Neurospora crassa OR74A: one gene and its partners. The protein of the gene in region 3 purifies or fractionates together with the protein of the main gene of each other region. This does not show direct contact. Links are inferred from orthologs where the notes say so. Each region holds a gene or a part of one and is shown on either strand. Other genes may lie near its edges.

The links. The genes of interacting proteins can lie anywhere in the genome.
Region 1: the proteins of NCU07393 (region 3) and NCU01675 purify together in Saccharomyces cerevisiae (affinity purification with mass spectrometry; 3 studies listed by BioGRID). This does not show direct contact. The link is inferred for Neurospora crassa OR74A from reciprocal best matches to the Saccharomyces cerevisiae genes NOP14 and RRP12.
Region 2: the proteins of NCU07393 (region 3) and NCU07041 purify together in Saccharomyces cerevisiae (affinity purification with mass spectrometry; 6 studies listed by BioGRID). This does not show direct contact. The link is inferred for Neurospora crassa OR74A from reciprocal best matches to the Saccharomyces cerevisiae genes NOP14 and KRR1.
Region 4: the proteins of NCU07393 (region 3) and pod-5 purify together in Saccharomyces cerevisiae (affinity purification with mass spectrometry; 3 studies listed by BioGRID). This does not show direct contact. The link is inferred for Neurospora crassa OR74A from reciprocal best matches to the Saccharomyces cerevisiae genes NOP14 and UTP13.

Annotation. Positions count from the first base shown.
Region 1 is NC_026502.1:2,739,631-2,743,911, forward strand, and holds the start of NCU01675 (90S preribosome component RRP12), read right to left. Parts: upstream 2,801-4,281; 5' UTR 2,705-2,800; coding exon 2,633-2,704; intron 2,491-2,632; coding exon 1-2,490. Other genes in the region: NCU01674 (alpha-soluble NSF attachment protein), read right to left, coding at 3,218-3,632, 3,706-4,012, 4,101-4,224. UniProt on the Saccharomyces cerevisiae protein: In association with GSP1, required for nuclear export of both pre-40S and pre-60S ribosomal subunits. Required for the late maturation of the 18S and 5.8S rRNA of the pre-40S ribosomes and for maturation of the 25S and 5.8S rRNA of the pre-60S ribosomes.
Region 2 is NC_026504.1:4,998,493-5,002,193, forward strand, and holds NCU07041 (90S preribosome/SSU processome component KRR1), read left to right. Parts: upstream 1-1,427; 5' UTR 1,428-1,606; coding exon 1,607-1,861; intron 1,862-1,919; coding exon 1,920-2,269; intron 2,270-2,336; coding exon 2,337-2,694; 3' UTR 2,695-3,201; downstream 3,202-3,701. Other genes in the region: NCU07042 (alcohol dehydrogenase), read left to right, coding at 3,349-3,407, 3,539-3,701. UniProt on the Saccharomyces cerevisiae protein: Required for 40S ribosome biogenesis. Involved in nucleolar processing of pre-18S ribosomal RNA and ribosome assembly. Essential for vegetative growth.
Region 3 is NC_026501.1:6,085,338-6,091,875, reverse strand, and holds the start of NCU07393 (rRNA maturation protein), read right to left. Parts: upstream 4,181-6,538; 5' UTR 4,078-4,180; coding exon 3,778-4,077; intron 3,719-3,777; coding exon 3,272-3,718; intron 3,214-3,271; coding exon 1,225-3,213; 3' UTR 1-1,224. Other genes in the region: NCU07394 (hypothetical protein), read left to right, coding at 4,907-5,279, 5,333-5,970; NCU07395 (DNA-binding protein SMUBP-2), read left to right, coding at 6,521-6,538. UniProt on the Saccharomyces cerevisiae protein: Involved in nucleolar processing of pre-18S ribosomal RNA. Has a role in the nuclear export of 40S pre-ribosomal subunit to the cytoplasm.
Region 4 is NC_026505.1:1,894,939-1,898,871, forward strand, and holds the start of pod-5 (polarity defective-5), read left to right. Parts: upstream 1-1,133; 5' UTR 1,134-1,226; coding exon 1,227-3,933. Other genes in the region: NCU03627 (hypothetical protein), read right to left, coding at 1-611, 668-700. UniProt on the Saccharomyces cerevisiae protein: Involved in nucleolar processing of pre-18S ribosomal RNA.

The DNA.
Region 1 (4,281 bases), on a different chromosome or scaffold from region 3:
GAACTCCTCAATAGAGGCGGTAGCCGCAGGAGCATCCGCGGGCATGTGAGGGACCTTGCTGTTATCGATCAAAGAGCCCTGAGCAGAAACCATCTTCTGGCCAAGGAGAACCAGAAGGTCGAAGGCGGTAGTGCGAGCCTTCTCGTTGTGCTCCTTGCAGCCAATGACAACCTCTGAAAGAATGGAGGGAATGAAGTGCAGGGAATCGTTGGGGATGAAGTGAATCAGAGCAGCAATGGCAGCCAGGCGCTCTCTCCGGGCAGGTGCCGACACCTTCTCAGAGCTGGACAGGAACAGGGTTTGGAGCTCGCCATGTCTCTCCTCGAGGGCGGCCTTGCCGATGGGGGAATCCGCCAAGCGAGGAATGAGCTTGTAAGCCTTCTTCTGCAGCTGAGGGTCATCATCCTTGAAGATGACCACTGAAGCGATCTTAAAAAGAGCCTCGAAGCTGGCACGGGGGAGGTAGATAGACATGGTAACGACCAGGTCCATGAGAGTGTGCGCGGCAGAAGGCATGTGATCGGCCTTCTGCTGTTGTTGGGGCTTCTTCTCAACAGCCTCTTGAAGAGCCTCGGCGAGCTTCTCGCACACCATGTCGAAAGTCTCGGTAAGACGCGCGGGAGGGATGATGCTGAGGTAGGCGTTGATGGTCTGGAGGACAGGGCCGCGCTTCTGGGGGAGAGTGGTGCTGTAGACGTTGAAGAGAACAGCGAGGAAATCAGCTGCAAAGGTGGCTCCGAGGTACTCCAAGTTCTTCTGCGCCTGCTCCTTGCTGACCCTGCCAAAGAGAATGAGGTCATCGACCTCATCGGAAGTGGCGATGGCCTGGTTGGACTCAACAACGGTCCTGAGGGCGCGACAAATATCCAAGCGCAGGTCAACCTGCTCATACAAAAGGTTGGTCAACATCTCAGCGAAGCCTGTGTCAAAGGCCTCGACAAGATCAAGTGGAAGGTCGCAGTAGCCGGGAAGAATCGACCAAATTTGCTGAACAACAGTCTCGAAAATCTTGATGTGAATGTTCTTCTCGCCCTGGTGCTCAATCACACGCTGGAACATGATAGCACTGAGAGGAACCAATTCGCTCTTGAAGTGTGCAAGATTGGTGTTGGAGGTGTAGTCACGGAGAAGAGGAAGCATCCAAGCTCTGCCAGGCTGACCCTTGACGGGCTTCGCGAGGTTCAGGGGAAGAACATTCAAGACCGCCTCAGGACCCATTGCACGAATCGCCTTGCCAAGGACCTCGTCGGCTTCCTGCTTTCCAGCGAAAGAATCGTTACCGCGGATTTCGCCGATGCTCTTGACGACGGAAAGGAGGTAAGGGTTAGCCTGCCACCGAAAGGCATCGAACATGGCACCAAGAACGTTGAAAGTCTCCATCCAGGCAGCTTGGTACTGGACGGTGAGAAGGCCCTCGACAACCTTGACTAGTTGCTGAATGACCTTCTCGTCAAAAATCGAAGGCTCAAGGATGGCCTCCTTGGGGACACAGTTGGCCAGGAAGGAGACCAAGCACTCGGACGCCGAAACGCGAATATTCTTGTGCTGGGACTCGAGGTATCCTGCAACCAGAGTGAAAGGATCGACCAGCTCTTGGAAGGTCTCGGCGGGCGAAATCTGACCGGCAACATCGTAGGCTCTCGACAGAATGGCGATCCAGGGAGGGAGAAGCTGGGTATCGTTGGGCGCGGGACGGAGCTCTCTGATGATCTCGAGCAGCCGAGGAAGCTTGGCGGAGGCAACCTCGTCGGCGGCCATGCCCTCGAACATCATCTCGAAGATCTCGAAGACAGCCATGCTCATGTGCTCGTTGCCCGTCCGGGCAATGCTGAGAAGGAGCTCGCACAAAGACTCAATGCTCTTGCTGGGCCAGCCACCGCTTCCAGAGGCGACAGCCTTGACGAGTTGCAAGGCGTGGATAAGCTCGGGATCGTGGGTAGAGTCGGTAGTCTTCTTTTCCTTCCTCTGGGCGGCGGCCTTGTCAGCGACAAGACGGAGGCTCTGCATGGCTGTCTCGGCGCACATGGGGGCGGCGGGGTGGTCGAGAGACGGGCTCGGCGGAGGGTTCTTCAGGATGTTCCTGAGCGCTTCCTGGGCTCTCTTGCGGACTTTGGGACGCGGGTCGAGGGCAAGGGCGAGGAGGCCGGCCACAGCCCGGCGGGGGCCAATCTGGGCGGTACCGAGCTCCCACTGTGTCGCATCTTGAGCAAGGAGCAAGCTCTCGAGAGAGCCGATCGAGGCCCTCATGAGGGGAGCATCGGCATCGGGGAGGGATAGTACTGGCGCGAGGATGGTGATGATCTGAGTGAACTTGGCCTGAAGAATAGGCTTTGGAGCGAAGGGAGTGACGACATCGAGGAGGTAGACGACGGGGGTCGCGAGGTTTTCGTTGTTGAGTAGACTGAGAAGGGCAGCGAAGTAGGCGGTAGGAGTCGCGGGTGTATTGCGCTCCTTGAAGGTGGCCTCGATAGCCTCGAGGACACTGGCAGTCTGTGGCTCAAGTCAGGGTCCATTGTCCACGATGGAGGCGGCCTTGCGACAGGCCACTGCAATGGCAGGCTGGAAGGAAGAGGGTAGGGATGCAGAAGACAAAAGATGGAAAAAGGAGAGATGCATCATGACTCTGGCTTACCTGCTTCTGGCTCTGGAGATTCGGAGACCGAATCTTGTCCAGTTTCTCCTGCAAAGACGGAGAAGAAGCCATCGTGAATGTGATGGAATGGCGCTGGAGTGGGACAATGCAAGCCGCTTCGCAGTGCTGAAATCGATGTCATGAAGAACAGAAAAGTTCGAAAAGTTGTCGCTTATCGGCGCGCACGCCCCACCCGCTGTCATTGATAAGGGTCTGGCGCTAGTCCGAAGCGGCTCCCAACTGTAACTCCAGGGTTAGCTATGGCATCTCATGCTTATAGAGGTACCTATGTTTCGCTTGGGCAGCCATCAAGGTTATGAGATACAACAATTCATGTTGGATCGTACGAACAACGCGTACCCACTAGGAACAAGTTTCTATTGCTTTAAGCCCATCTCTACCCCAGACAGCAGGTTTGTTTGGGTCTTCCGTAAATCACCAAAGCGTCGATGACCGTATTCATGATATGACAGTTCATCCCCCTCCCAACCAGAAAACGCCGGTACGATAACAAAGAAAAGAAAAAGGAAAGAAGGAAACCAGAAAGTGATAAATGGCTGTATATCACAAGTTCCTCCACCCTGTTTATGAAAACTCGTTGTCTGCCTCCTCAAAGTTGTTCTTGATCTGGAGAAGAACAGCCGCCTTCCAGTCATCGAGCCGGCTCATCTTATCGTACGCGGCAAGCTTATCCTGGAACATCTCGAGGTTGTTGTTTGAGGCTGCTTCCAACAAGTCAACCAGGAGTTGGTATTCGCGCTGGCCCGTAAATGATGGGTCCTTCTCGGCATACTTGGTGATGTTACGCTGAGCAGTGACCATATCCTTGGTCGCCAAGGAGCAGAGACCGGCCTTGAGGAAGTACTCCTTGACCGAGTACCTCATCAGGTTGTTGCCGAGTGAAGCCTCCGCAACCTTCTCGAACTTCTCTATAGCGGCGAAAAAGTCGCCCGCGAGGGCAGAGAGGTCGGCCACCTTGAGCCACAGCTTGTTCGCAAGACTACACACAGCTGGTTAGAACGACCTGTTGGACTCGTAACATGGCGCAAAAGCCGTGGGCATTAATCACTTACGCGACAGCACCGTCGTTCTCATACCACTCGGCCGCAGTTGTATAGGCCTTGATAGCCTCTGGCTTATTCTGCAGCTCGTTTTCGTAGACCTCAGCCTGGTTCTCCTTGTGCGACGCAGCTCTCCGGAAGTTCCCCGCCATGGTATACTGCTTGATGGCAACCTCGACGCAGCGCACAGCATTATCCGGGGCATCTTTCCTATAGACCTTGAAGGCGTCCAACATGGCATTCGCCGCATCGTTGGGCTCCTTCAACTTCTCAGTGAAGATCTTGGCAGCTTCCTCGAAACACTTGCCGGCCTCGGTGTCTGGGTAGTGGGCAGAACGTTAGGACTTGCCGCGAGGTTCATATGGCCCGAAAGCGCATCGTGGGTGTTGATGATTGTGATGACGTACTTGACTTCTGCAACCTGAAAGCGTTGGCCGCTTGTATGTACTGATCCGCCGCATTTTGGTACTTGTCTTCCTTGTTTCCGAACAGACCCCAGCCTTTGGACGCGCTCGCGAGGGTCTTCTCTGCCTGGTGTTCGCATTCGGCATCAGCAAGGTGTCGCGAAAGTGTCAGGAGGTGCCAGGA
Region 2 (3,701 bases), on a different chromosome or scaffold from region 3:
GATATTGCGGATGAATAAGGGGAAGAAGGCCCGGAGATCGAGTCGAAGCCAGCTTGACTTTCACGGCGGTTGAAGGCGGCGTCGGTGCCAATTGACCCACTCGTGGTGGATGCGAGCGAGACCGTGGGCCCGTGACCGGGATTGCCAACTTCGGGATCGAGACTGCGCAGGCGGAGGGAGGTGCGGGTGTGTGGTGGTCGAGGTCAACGTCCCAGAAATGACGTCTGTGCTTATGATGAATTCGATTTGTTTCTTTTCCTTTTCTCTTCTTCTCAAGGATAGACAACGACAATTGCCGTCGATCTTGGCAAAGGTCACAAGAAGCAGCGATACCTGAAGGTCTTGGGGTTCGGGATAAAGACCGACGCCAGGGATACGAAGGGGAAATCGAAGGGAGTAGTGTAGAATGTCGCGGGGCCGAAGAAGAAAAAGAAGGGGAAGATGTTGCAGGGACGGAAGGAGTTCTGATTCTTGGCGACACAAAACCGAACCTACCCCTTTCTGACGGAAAACGTTGATGGATTTCGAAACCTCGTGCACGGAATGCTGTAATCCGTGGCGTACCACAGTGCAGATTGTGCTTGCCCGATCATGATGACCACAGCGCGCCAGGGTCGTCAGATCTTTGCAGGTTCTCATTGGGCGAACCTGGGATGATTTCTTGGTTCTTCAGCTGGAAAACCAACGACGAACGTTATCCAGCCTTACCGCGACTTTATCACGGCGAACCTGAAAATTGCTGCTGTTAAGTTCGTCAACTTTGACTCGGGCGGGATTCGATGCTTCACCATCAATTACTTCAGCGTATCTTGAACACCTTGGTGAGATTTTACCGACGGTACAGGTGTCAACAATGGCCCTGCTGGGAGTATACAAATCACGTTGAGACCCCAGCAAGTCAAAACGCTCTTGTCGCCAATCCCACCATGGCATATCAAGACCTTTTGATGTCGCCAGCACGTGTGATTTCTTGTTGATGTTCCGTGCCGTGCCGTGCAAGCCCCTGTCATGATAAGCTAGTATGTAGATAAGATAACATCTACAACCTGGGGGGAAAAAACAGCTGAAAGGAGCAGATGGCCAAGAGTACTTGGATAGACTCGTTGCGAAGTACAGCAGGACAGTAATGACAGAACCAAACTTCCACCTCGCTGAGATTTGAAATAACTGAATCCGGTCGTTTTCTTATATTTGCTCCTTTTTTATGCTGTTGTCGTCCTCAATGAAAATACCAGGTTCCAAAAGTTACAACTTCCATGCAAGTGGAAGTTCCAGTTATCAGATAAGGAGCTGCCCCTGCATCTGCCAGCTGGCCGCTGATCCTGTCGCGCTTCTGCAGCCGGAACTCAACCTGCAAGAAGCGCCGCGCCCCCACTCTTACCAGCTGCGGCAGGCTTGTGTTCCAAAAATTTCCATCCGTGCAGCGCGATTCGGCTGGCCATCTTGCCATACAATCCCTTCAACAAGCCATTTATCAAATCCAACCACCAGACCCAAGTCGCTCGCCCTGATATCGTGACCTGTCGCACAACCTCAATCGAGACCTCTGATTATTCATAAACATCAACAGCCCACAAGAGCCCCGAGAAACACATTTACAGCCAAAATGCCGTCCACACACAAGAAGGAGAAGCCGTGGGATACAGACGACATCGACAAGTGGAAGGTCGACCCTTTCACCAAGGACGAATCCTCCGGCCCCTTCCTCGAGGAGTCTTCGTTTATGACCCTATTCCCCAAGTACCGCGAGCGTTATCTACGAGACTCGTGGCCACTCATCACCAAGGCCCTCGACAAGCACGGCATCACCGCAGTTCTCGATTTGGTGGAGGGTTCCATGACAGTGAAGACGACAAGAAAGGTACGGCGGATGCGTTTGTTGTCTTTATAGTCACCACTCTTTGCTAACTCACGTCCAGACATATGACCCCGCAGCTATTCTTAACGCCCGCGATCTCATCAAGTTGCTCGCCCGTTCAGTACCAGCCCCACAAGCGATCAAAATTCTCGAAGATGGCATGGCCTGCGACATCATCAAGATCCGCAGCATGGTACGGAACAAGGAGCGTTTTGTTAAGAGGCGCCAAAGAATTCTCGGACAGAACGGCACAACGCTCAAGGCTCTCGAGCTTCTCACACAAACATATATCCTCGTGCACGGAAACACAGTGTCGGTAATGGGTCCTTTCAAGGGTCTGAAGGAGGTGAGGAGGGTTGTTGAGGACACCATGAACAACGTTCACCCAATTTACATGATTAAGGAGTTGATGTAAGTTTTGCGCCTGCACGCCCACTTGCGACGCCCCACAACAACAATAACTGACATGAGAAAACAGGATCAAACGCGAACTCGCAAAGGACCCCGCTCTTGCCCACGAAGACTGGTCTCGTTACCTCCCCAACTTCAAGAAGCGCACGCTTTCCAAGCGCCGCGTCCCCCACGTCGTCAACGACAAGACCAAGAAGAACTATACACCCTTCCCCCCTGCGCCCGAGAAGAGCAAGGTGGATCTCCAGATCGAGTCCGGCGAATACTTTCTCGGCAAGGAGGCCAAGCAGCGGGTGGCGGAGCAGGAGCGCGCAGAGAAGGCCAAGCAGAAGAAGGAGGAGAAGAAGCGCGAGCGCGAGAAGGAGTATGTGCCGCCCGAGGAGTTGACGGACAAGAAGGCCAAGAAGAGGAAGACGAGCGACTAAGCTGGTACAAGTGGTGCAATCCAAAATATGGGGGCGGTGGAGGTGGAAATGGAGTTGAGGAAGACGATGATGAAGAGAAAGAGAAAGGATCCTGGAATCCCATGATACCCATACTTCAGCAGACGATTGAGATTTCTCCTGCTTCGGGATCCAAGGGTGATCTGGTTGCTAAATTTCACCAAAAGCCTTTGTCAAATGTGTTATCAAAAACAATGACTTGTCCAGAAAAGATGTCGGTTCTTGAATCTGTCGACATTTCGAAACCCAAGGCCGAAACAAAACCCGATGACGATCGCGAATAAAGCCCGATGTGGCAGACCCGCACCACAACCGGGCTGCTCCACCCCGGCGGATCGCAAACCAGGGGCATCACAAGGCGGGCCGAGGCAGTTGCATCATTGGAGCGGGATCCGGCAACGAATGCGGGGGAGAGTGGGGGCGGCCATTGGTCGGTGGCAGGGTTGGTGGGAGAGGCTCAATGACAGAGTGACAACACCCCTTTCCCCGGGTCCAATTGATAACAAATCTGGCCGATGTCGCAACTGATTTAAACTTGATGACCCTTTCCTTCTTTCACTTCTTGAACATACTTCAACACTCATCCAGTGGATTGGCCTCGGTAAAACACAACCCACACATAAACACAACGCCAAGATGCCTCTCCAACTCACTGTCAAGAAAATTGACGGTAAACCCGGCCAGGTTTACTACCCGTAAGTGTTTTGTTCTTCCTCTTCACATAACCTCACCTTTCTTCTCCCCCATACATATCCCCATCACCACCACCAACCAACTCACTCCCACCATCCTCCCCGCATGACTAACCCTCGGCCTCCCCATCTAGCCTCCAACTAAACACCATCCCCAAACCAACCCCCGGCCCCGGCGAGCTTCTCATCCGCCTCCGGTCCTGCGCCCTCAACCACCGCGACCTCTTCATCCGCCAACACCTCTACCCCGGCATCTCCTTCGAGCAACCTTTTCTCGCTGACGGCTACGGCGTCGTC
Region 3 (6,538 bases):
CAAGCCGAAATCATCGGTCCTGAACAGCGGGATCACCGATAGTCATCCATGGCTTCAAAGATGCGATCGATGTCAAGATCGCAATGACACATGTCGCCTTGACATCCATTCTTCCAGCCTTCGATCAACTGAGAGGTGCGTGAGGCTCATTTTGCGGCCGCCGGAAACCTGGAGCTGGGGAGACACGGGGACCCTCATAGACGACGGGACGGGAATCTTGATCTTACTCGGAACCAACCGATCGACCCAACTACCAACTGGAGCGGAATCTAGGTCATCAGCTTATGATTCTCTTTGCCTCTTCCCCTCAGAAGAAAAGGCGCGTGCTATTGAGAATGTAGCAAAGGAAAGAGAGAAGAATGAAAAGAGTCGTAGAGTGCCCGACTTCCCCGATGAACACAACACCATCGTCTACGGCGCCTATAGCGTCTAGAAACCACCACAAAGAGATGTGGATTGTCTTTGAAAGTTTACAAAGTTCAGACTGGGCAAAATACATACTGATCAAGCATCCGCCCGGGACCTGAGTACCTGGGAAATACTTTCTCGCCGATTTCGCTGGTTAGGGGTTTTCGGGGTCCAGTGATATTGTTATACGATAACGTGCGGCGGTTGTTAGTTGTTTAGGTCGCTTATATATTGTTCGTAAGTCGTAACTAACTATGTAGTTAGTCGTTGGGCCAGCGCTGGAGGTACAGTATGGGTGGCACGAGGGGGGGAAGTGATTGAAGAACGGCATTGTTTGAATTATAGCCGCGGGACGGACACGCCGACCGAAGGGCAACTCCATACTGCTGTGTTTCCTTGTCTTCAGTCATTTTCTTGTTATTTGTTGTTTGCTTTTTCTTTTCTTTTTCTTCAGATGAGGCTCCGCCATCAATAGCGATAACCGGAATTACATAGTTTCGTTGAAGTGTTGAAAGTTCCAGGTAGGGATGAGTACCATGATGAAATTGGTGGGTTGGGTAAACATCACATGTAAACAACATCAGGAGTAGATAATGTACGTACTGAGGGTTGGCAAATGATGAAATGATCTTAAAACTCCTACTAGTAGATGATATGATAGACATGGTATCTCCAACCCATGATCCAAATATTGCACTTGCACTGAACGCTGATGATGATGTATACATGACAGCAACAACAACGGCACTAACAACAACACGGCCAACCACAAACTTACTCCGACTGCTACCCCCGAACCTTCTAAGAAGTAGCCATTTACCTCTTGTTCTTCTTGAGCCTCGCCGCCTTCTCCCTTGCGTACTCGTTCGCCGCCTGGCCTTCCGATCCCTGGATCTCCGCCACCAAGCGCTTGTACTTCTTCTCGTACGCCTCGTCCTTGGCCTTCTTGACCTTGAGGTTCTCGCGCTGCATGAAGGCCGCGTCCTTGCGGAGCTCCCTGAGTGCGCCCTTGCGCTCCTTCTTGTGTTCGGCCCGCAGCTTGGCCAGCTCGGCGCGCTCGCGGTCTGGGTCGTAGTGCTTGTTGGGGTCAAACGAATCCTCAAACTTGGGCACGTACGTCTTAATGGCGAGCGGCTTGTGGTGGTGCAGCTCGAGTGGCCTGCGGGAAACCTGGGCGAGCTGGAGGAGGCGGGAGATGCTTGTCGTTGCGTCCTTAAGCTGCTTGACGAGGGCTGCAGGGAGCTGGGCGGCGTTGGACTTGGTTGTCAGGTGTTGGAGCACGCGCTGGGCGGGCTGGAAGGTCTCGTAGAATGCGGGGAGTTTGCACCATGTTTCGGAAGCAGTCCTGAGAACGGAGGTGATGGTGCTGATAATGGCAACCTTCAGAGCGGAGTCGTCGCTGGTGGAGCGAGCGCTCTTGGGCTGCTGGCAGTCACCGCAGTTGAGCTTCCTGACGGTCACCTTGCTTGCACCCTTGACACGGATGCCAGCAGCGGGCTCGTGAACGGGGAACAGACCAAGCTTTTCCTTGGGCTTCTCAGCAGCGAGCGAGCAGAGAGTGTTGAGGCAGAAGTTGACAAATTCTGGTACGTAACGCTTGGAGAAGGATTGGTACTGAAGGGCGAGGATCGAAAGGTAAGCACCAATGGAGTAGTCGGCGAGTGTCTGGGGAATTTTCTGTCCCAAATAACGGGTGATGGAAAGCATCGCAGGGGTGACCACCTGATGGAAGTGATCAGAAGTAGGGTAGGTTGTGCCAATCGCTGTCAGAAGCATAAGGTCGCCGACGCTAAGGGCAAGGGGCCGATCCTCCTTAATCTCCTCAAGCCGTGACCTGTAAGCCTTGGATATCTCGATCGGGAAGGTCTTCGCGAGTGAGTGGACGTGGCGGATCAAGTTCTCAATGGTAGGGAACCAGGTGGGCTCGAAGTTGTCGCCAAGGTAAGCGATATGCTCGATGAGGGCCCGGGAGAAGTTTCCAAGGCGCTCCTTGTTCTTCGCGTCCAGCTTGGGGTGGTAAAGAGCTCTGATCCTCTGGACAGCCACTGGAAGTTTGGCCACGGGAAGGCTGCCCAAGATCTCCAGCAGCTGCTCGTGACTCTCGGGACATGTAAAGGTATAGGGTATGCCGTCCTCGTCGCCGCCTTTTGACTGAGCTTGAAGTTTTGTGGCCACCTCCTTCGACTCGCCGTCCTCACCACCATTCACAAGCTCGTCCTCATCAGGATCATAGGCATCCTCGTCATCACTCCCGTCCATGTCCGACATGTCGTCCTCGTCCATATCCAACTCAGAGCCGCTTGCGATAAGGTCGTCTTCGAGCAAGAAATCGTCTTCGTCGTCCAGACCCATCTCGGTGGCGGTCATTCGTAGCTTGATACCCTTGCCGAGGCCGAATTCGTCCTCGTCGGCCTCGTCTTGTACCTCTTGGTCGTCTCCCTTCTTCCTGCCCTTCTTCTGCTCCTCCTCCTCCTCCTCCTCGTCATCCGAGACGATCTCACCCCGCATGCGCCTGAGTCGCTTTTCCTCCATCTCTTTGAGACGCTTAACTCCTTCCTCCGCCTTCTCCTCGTCGGTCTTTGTCCTGTCGGTAACCTCGGCCCTGGCTTCACGCGCTGCCTGCTTGAGACGCATGTTGTATTCCTTCTCAAGTTGGTCCATGTCGATTCCTGCCATAACGGAGGGGCCCTTGGGGTCCTTCGTTTCCTTCGGTCTCATCTGGAAGAGTAGGGACTGCAATTCTGGGAGTTCCTTGTCAAGTTCCACTCTTAGATCGTCGTCCTCCTCCTTGGCTGCTTGTCGTTCCTGTAGCAATTACTGTTAGCTGATGAGTGGAAGTAGCCGGCTTAGCGGTGCCCCTTACGTATTTGAAGGCCTTTGACTTGGCGATAACCTCCTCCATAACTTCCTTCTTCGTCTTCTTCCTCTCCGGTTGTCCATCCTCTCCTTCACCTTCCGCGGCCTCTTCCTCAGCGCGCAGGCGCTTGAGGAACTTCTTTCTGGCTGACCGCTCATCGTCGGATTCCATATCGGAAACGTCCTCGTCAAAATCGTCACGACCCGCCTCAATGTCGTCGTCGTCAAAGAGAGTCTTGCCAGCGTGTGTAAGGGTGACCTGTTCTTGCTCGTCATCGGAACCCTCCAAATCGAAGACGGTGTTCTTCTTGTGGCTCTTCATCTGCTCGCGCGCGAAACGTTCCATCATCTTGTCCTCCAGGGTCATGTTGGGGTCGTCCTCGCCAAAACGCCTATCGACAATGCCGCCGACCTTGTTGCGCCTCTGCATTTCAACCAGTAGAGTTTCCCGTCGCTGTTTATGGCACAGTTAGCATCAGAACCAGTAAATCGATCTGAGTGGGATCGACAAACCCTCTGCTCAGCGGTGGCCTTCGCAACGCCGGGGCGGCCCTGAATGCCCTTGGCGAGTTTATCATTTTGGGGCTTGTTGGTGGTGACCTCGAACTTGGGTCCTCTGGCGTTGGTCTTGAACTGGAAGGGGTTGAACTGCTCTCTGATGCTGGCGAGAGCTTCGTGGCGCTGGAGTCGCTTGTCGGTGGAAGCCTTCGCGTCCTGGGCGTTTTGGCGCTTTTGCTTCTTGGATCTCTGGGGACCGATGATGCCTTGGTCCTTGAGGGAGGCCTTCAGCCTCTTGAGCTGAGACCCGGCCATGTTTGTTGAGATGTCTCGACTGTCGACTTGACAGGGGAGTATTGAGAAAGAAAGAGGGAGGGAGGGCGTCGCGAAGCGGGTTCGATCGCAAGACCAGCAATCAATAGGTTGTCTTTGGCGGTTGGTTCCTTCTCAGAAATTTTGGTGATGAAGGGTGCTTATCTTATCGTCATGCTCCACCTCTAAAATCTTGGCAGTTACCTACCTACATACAAGTAGTATTGTCCACAGGCGCGGGCAGCAGAAGCATCCTGGCCTGCCCGTGCTGCACTGTAGCTGCTAAAAGACGAAGCTCTACGGGCGATGCTATCCAGGTCCCAAAAACTTACCCTTTTAAGGAAGTGCACAGACTTCTTTTGTTCTCAAGACATGTCACTCGACCAAATGTGCTCTGCAACCCAGGATGCAGCATTTCACCCAAAAAGCCCCCTTTTGGGCCAGCTGAGTTGCGAAAAGGAGTTTCCCAGCAGTATTTGACTTGCAAAGATAAAAGAATTCCCAATTTTCTTGGTGGAGGATCCAAAAAGTTGAATGTATTGTTAAGTACAAAGGTCTTGGGATACATGCTTGACTAAATGCTTAGGGTGGGAAATTTGGGACCTGGATAGACTGTCCCGCTCTACAGCGGGTGTCACTCCACTGACCAGAAGTGAAGCTCTCCATCGTCATCCTCGGGCTGCTCATGGTTTTTTTATTTTTTTATTTTTGGTTTTTTTCAGTGTTCCGTCTCAATCTCAAAGTCGCGATGTGATGAAAAGAAAAAGAAAACAACACATAAAAGTCAAACTACCTATGCTGAAGCATCATCTTTCATCACCATACCGTTATTATGGGCTGGCAATCGTCGGTTCTCCGAGATGAGAGGGTCGTCTTCACCGGCATTGGCTTCGTCACGGCGAGCTTGATCATCTTCGCCATGAACACCTGGCTAACAAGATGGCGAGACGAGACCATTGTCACCCCCAATCCGCCAAAGACGCAGTACATCACGCAGCAGACCGAGGACTCGCTCGAGCTCAAGACGCTGGACACCTTGCTGGGCCACTACAACTACGCCATCAAGGAGACGGCTGCCAAGATAATCTGTGATAGGGCTGCAAATGACCCCGGCCTCCTGGAGACGTTGCTCTGGGGCATCACCCGTCCAGATTATGACGAGCGTGTCAAGAACTTGAGGGCTCTGGCTGTCATCTGCGTCCCTCGTGAGTATCTCAACACTGCTTGAAAGTTTCCAACTCACTAACACGGCTTCAAGGAGTTCTCCCCATGCTTCACACTTGGAAAGCATACTCCGCCATAGTCCGGTGCCTCGAGCTCTCCCTCGACCCGGAGCAGGAGGTTCTCGAGAATGATGGATGGGACGATTATCCATTGAGGGATATCACCGAAAAAATGTGCTTCATCTTTCTTGAGCAGCTGGTCGATCATTACGGGCCAGAGATGCTGATCCGCTCCAAGTTCGTTGAGCGTTGGCTATCCAGGCAAAATTGGGGCAGGACTGAGGAAGACAGACAGCGCAACTTCCACAACTATATGCTGTACAGGGACAACAAGATCAAGAGGCTTGCGGATGCGGTGCGCAAAACTGGATCGGGAAGGTCGGTGCTGGTCAGATGTGGTCTCATGTCCCAAGAGGGGGCTGACGACTTCGCGGCTGAGCAGGCCGATAACCTGAACCTCATGGACACAAGCGGCGAGCGCTATAACCTCCTGCTCTCTATTAACATGGGTAGGACCCCGCGGGCGCAGGAGACGAGCGCCGAGGAGCAGCGGATTAGACATCGGAATCGCGAGGCTATTGTGGTGAACGATGGGACTAGGCCGATTGGCAGGGACGATATTATTCACCGTGACACGGAATGGCGGGTTTTGGGAGAGCCTGGTCAGTCTTAGAGGAGCGGCTCAGTAACTACTACAGGAATTGTTACCATCGCTTTGTGCTTTGTTCTGTGTTAGGAATACGGGGACGCATAAGGAAGATCAAAATGAGAATAAGAAAGATTGAGTTTGGTTGAGTAGCAATTGTATTAATCATCCAGAATGACCTTTGTTTTGGCGGATATGAAGGTGTTTGCTCTCTTACAAAACGAATAATACACGGTTAGATGCATCGTTGGGTTCAATCGTTAACAGTTCGCGAGCAACTCCACCAAAATCACTAACAAGAAAGGAACAATACGTCAAGACAACAAACCACTGCAATATGCTCACATGAATTTTGCGATTCAATTGAACCAAACCGCAACCTGAACTGTGGGCTTTGCGCCTTTTCCAACGATCACACGTCTAGCATAATACACCATCACCCGCCAAACGACGCACAGAGTCACTGTAACCGAACGGCGGCGCGGCCTTCTGTCATTTCCACAGTCCCTTCTCCCGGCCCCGCTCGTGTCCGGATTTCAAGAGCCTCACCACTCTTTCCATCCACCCACTCACCAGCATGGCTCCCTCACAGACA
Region 4 (3,933 bases), on a different chromosome or scaffold from region 3:
ATTGGGGAGTCATTGCAGCCTGGAATGAAGAAACCAAGGGTGGGAACCCATCTCGAGGTGTTCACAAGGCCGGTTCGTTGCATGAAGACGAAGATCTCTAGGTGTAAGTTGACCCAGGAGAACACGTACTTGACCCATGGGTATTCTGGCATGTCGAATCCAGCAAAACTATCGCTCAGGACATACGATGGCAGCCCGGCCCAGAGGTACTCTCCCCATGACTGCTGGCGCCTGTGAAAGTGAAATAGACGAGAAAAGGGAACATGGGCGTAGTCCTTGTACAGCAAGATACGCTGCCTCAAGCCGTTGACTCCCCAGACTCCGACGGTGGCCAAGACCTCGCCGGTGAGGAACAGCTTCCTCCCAATTCCATCTTCGTAGTACTGGTGCTTGGTGGCGGCTTCGTATAGAGCTTGGGCCTCGTTGATGCCACTGTCCGGTTCGGCAACGCCGATGACCAGCATAACCTCGTTGTGAGAGCGGATGATGTCTCTGTTGATGCGCCGTGTCTCTGGATTCACTGGTCGTCCTCGGTCATCATACAACTGCTCTGGGGCCCCGGGTTGGGGCTCGCCAGTGCCCTCAACTACCTCATCGTAGGGAGACCGGCCCTGTCCTTAGTGTCAGAACGAAGTTGTAGCCCGAAAGTCTTGCAACGATGACTTACAAGGGCCTGTGATGTCAGTGGGCCCAACCGCATCGTGAAAGGGTCAACTGGATTCAGGAGGTGTTTGTAGATTACTATCCGGCATTGCCAAGATGTTTATGTGTACATTACACGGTGAAATTTGACCAGTCAGTGGCCATCCTCGTGTAACAAACTAGGTCCTGTGCCAGAGATTGTGTTATGGTGAAGATAGTGGTGGTATAGCTGATGAGTGATGGAGACTGGAACAGACAGTTGACGTTGGTGGGGGCGATTGGGGAGCACAGAAAGCCGAGGGAGGGTCATGCTCCAGTTGCTCCAGTGCTCCAGCGTGGTTCGTCACGGATTCCTACAGGGGTTGGATCTGCATGGCGCTAAGATAACCTTATTGCCTGGCCTTATCAGCGGGCGGCAGGCAGCGACCCGCGAAAAGTTTTTGGGATTGGGGACTTTGCAGTGTACCACCCTACACTTGACGTTCTAACAGCAGAACCCCAAAGGCGGCGGCGCGCAATCGCAACCCTCCTTGCCTCTCTGTTTGATTTAATCCACTTGTACAGCCAGACACTCCGTCACCACAATGGCGTACAGGCAAACCACCACCAAGACGACCTTCGAGGTCAACAATGTCATCCAGCCCATTTTCACAGGAGGTTCCGTAGCCCTCGACAATGGCGCTAGGATCCTCGCGACCACCCTCGGCGAGCAGGCCGTCCTCACAGAGCTCAACACCGGCAAGCAGCTCGCCGAGATCGAGGGCGACGGAGAGCCCATCTCGACCCTCACCATCACCCCTTCGGCCTCCCACCTGATTGTCTGCTCTCGTTCTCTTACTATGCGCATATACTCCCTCAAGGTCTCACCAGATTACGATTCCATCGAAGCCACCCTTGTACGCACCACGAAGCCCCACGCCACCCCCGTCGTGGTTCTCGCGGTCGACCGAACTAGCACCCTTCTTGCCACCGGTGCTGCCGACGGCGCCATCAAGATCTGGGACATTGTCGGAGGATACGTTACCCATACCGTTAGCGGCCCGAGTGTCCTTATTTCTGCCCTCCACTTCTTCGAGATTGCCGCTCTCGAGGACCAAGCCAGCAACAAGAACAAGAAGAACAGGCGAAAGAGCACAGCCGAGGAGGAGCAAGCTCAGGATGACAGCGTCGCTTCAAAGTTCCGTCTTGCCTACGGCACACAGGACGGCAAGATCCGCATCTTTGACCTCAGCAAACGCAAGACCTACCCCGTTTACGCCGACCCGACTTCGAGGAGAGAAGCGCACGAGTCCAACGTACAAAGCCTTGACTACTCACCAGAACTACATGCCCTTCTCAGCGGTAGCAGAGATAAGACAATGACAGTATGGCTGTGGAAGGAGGGGACATGGAGGGGAACACCCATGTTGCGCCATGAAGGCGTTGAAGCTGTCGGCTTCCTCAACAACGGAAGCTTGATGTATTCGGCTGGAACAAGTGGCCTACTTAGGCTATGGGACACAACCACACACCAAGAAATCACAGCAAAGCAAGACGCCAAGTCGGAAGCCGAGTCGATAGTGTCAGCCCTTGCTCTTCCCCACAAGAACCTTGTTGTTTGCGCCCAGTCTGACTTCACCCTCGCCCTCTACCGCACACCTTCGGTCGCCGATGCCACCAAGAAGTCGACGAAGCCTCTGGAACCCTTCAGGCGCATCTCGGGAACACACGACGAAATTCTCGACCTTGTTTACCTTTTGCCCGATCAGTCTCTCATGGCTCTTGCAACCAACTCCGAAGATATCAGACTTGTATCCGTGGCGGATAAGCAGCCCCAGCTGGGCGACGAGGAGGAGGGCGCGGCATACTTTGGCCATGACGTAGCTCTACTCAAGGGACACGAGGATATTGTCATGTCTCTCGATGTAGACTGGTCTGGCCACTGGGTTGCTAGTGGTGCCAAGGATAACACAGCTCGCCTCTGGAGGGTTGACCCAGCCAATAACTCGTTCGAGTGCTATGCAGTCTTCACTGGCCACATCGAGTCTGTCGGCGCTGTCGCACTCCCCAAGATCGTACCTCCCGAGAACTCGGAGGCGTTCAAGAACCCCCTCGACCACCCGCCCGCATTCCTCATTTCCGGTTCCCAGGATCGGTTCGTTCAGAAGCGTGACATTCCCCGAACATCACAAAAGGGAGCCGTCTCAACCAGTCTCCGTCGCTTAGCCCACGAGAAGGATATCAACGCTCTCGACATCAGCCCCAACGGAAAGCTTTTTGCCTCGGCATCACAAGACAAGACGGTCAAGATCTGGGATTCCGCAACATTAGAAGTCGTAGGTATCCTCAAGGGTCACCGCAGGGGTGTCTGGACGGTTCGGTTCGCGCCTCAGGGCATGCCTGCCATTCAAGGCGAGACCGGCACTGCTGTTTCCGGTAAGGGTGTAATCTTGACGGGTTCTGGTGACAAGACCATCAAGCTCTGGAACCTCTCGGACTACACCTGTCTGCGCACATTCGAGGGCCACTCCCATAACGTCCTCAAGGTTGTTTGGCTGCGCCTTCCCAAGGCCGCTGACGACGCTGAAGACGAGGCTGCTGCTGCCGCCTCCAAGGCCAAGCAGCGCATCCAGTTCGCCTCTGCGGGCGCCGACTCCCTCGTCAAGGTCTGGGACGCCAACCTTGGTGAGACCGAGTGCACGCTCGATAACCACGAAGACCGTCTCTGGACGCTCACGGTGCACCCCAAGACCAATATGCTTGTGTCTGGTGGTTCCGACTCCCGCGTAACCTTCTGGAAGGACACTTCGGCTGAGACCCATGCCGCCGCGTCCTCGGCCGCCCTCAAGCTCGTCGAGCAGGAGCAGCAGCTCGAGAACTACATCCACGCCGGCGCCTACCGTGACGCTATCATTCTGGCGCTGCAGCTCAACCACCCCGGTCGTCTCCTGGGTATCTTCACTAACGTGGTCACTACCAACGCCCCCGAAGAGGGCTCTCTCTGCGGTATCAAGGCCGTCGATCAGGTGCTTGGTAACCTCTCCGACGAGCAGATTTTCCTGCTCCTGCTGAGGCTGCGCGACTGGAACACCAATGCGCGCACGGCGCCCGTGGCGCAGCGCATCCTCTGGGCGCTCGTCCGACTCTACCCTGCCAACAAGTTCTCCAACCTGTCGGTCAAGGGCGCAAGGGGACAGAAGAGTCTGAAGGAGGTGCTCAACGCGTTGAGGGTGTATACTGAGAGGCACTATAAGCGCATAGAAGAGCTGGTGGATGAAAGTTACCTTGTTGAGTATACTTTGCAGGAAATGG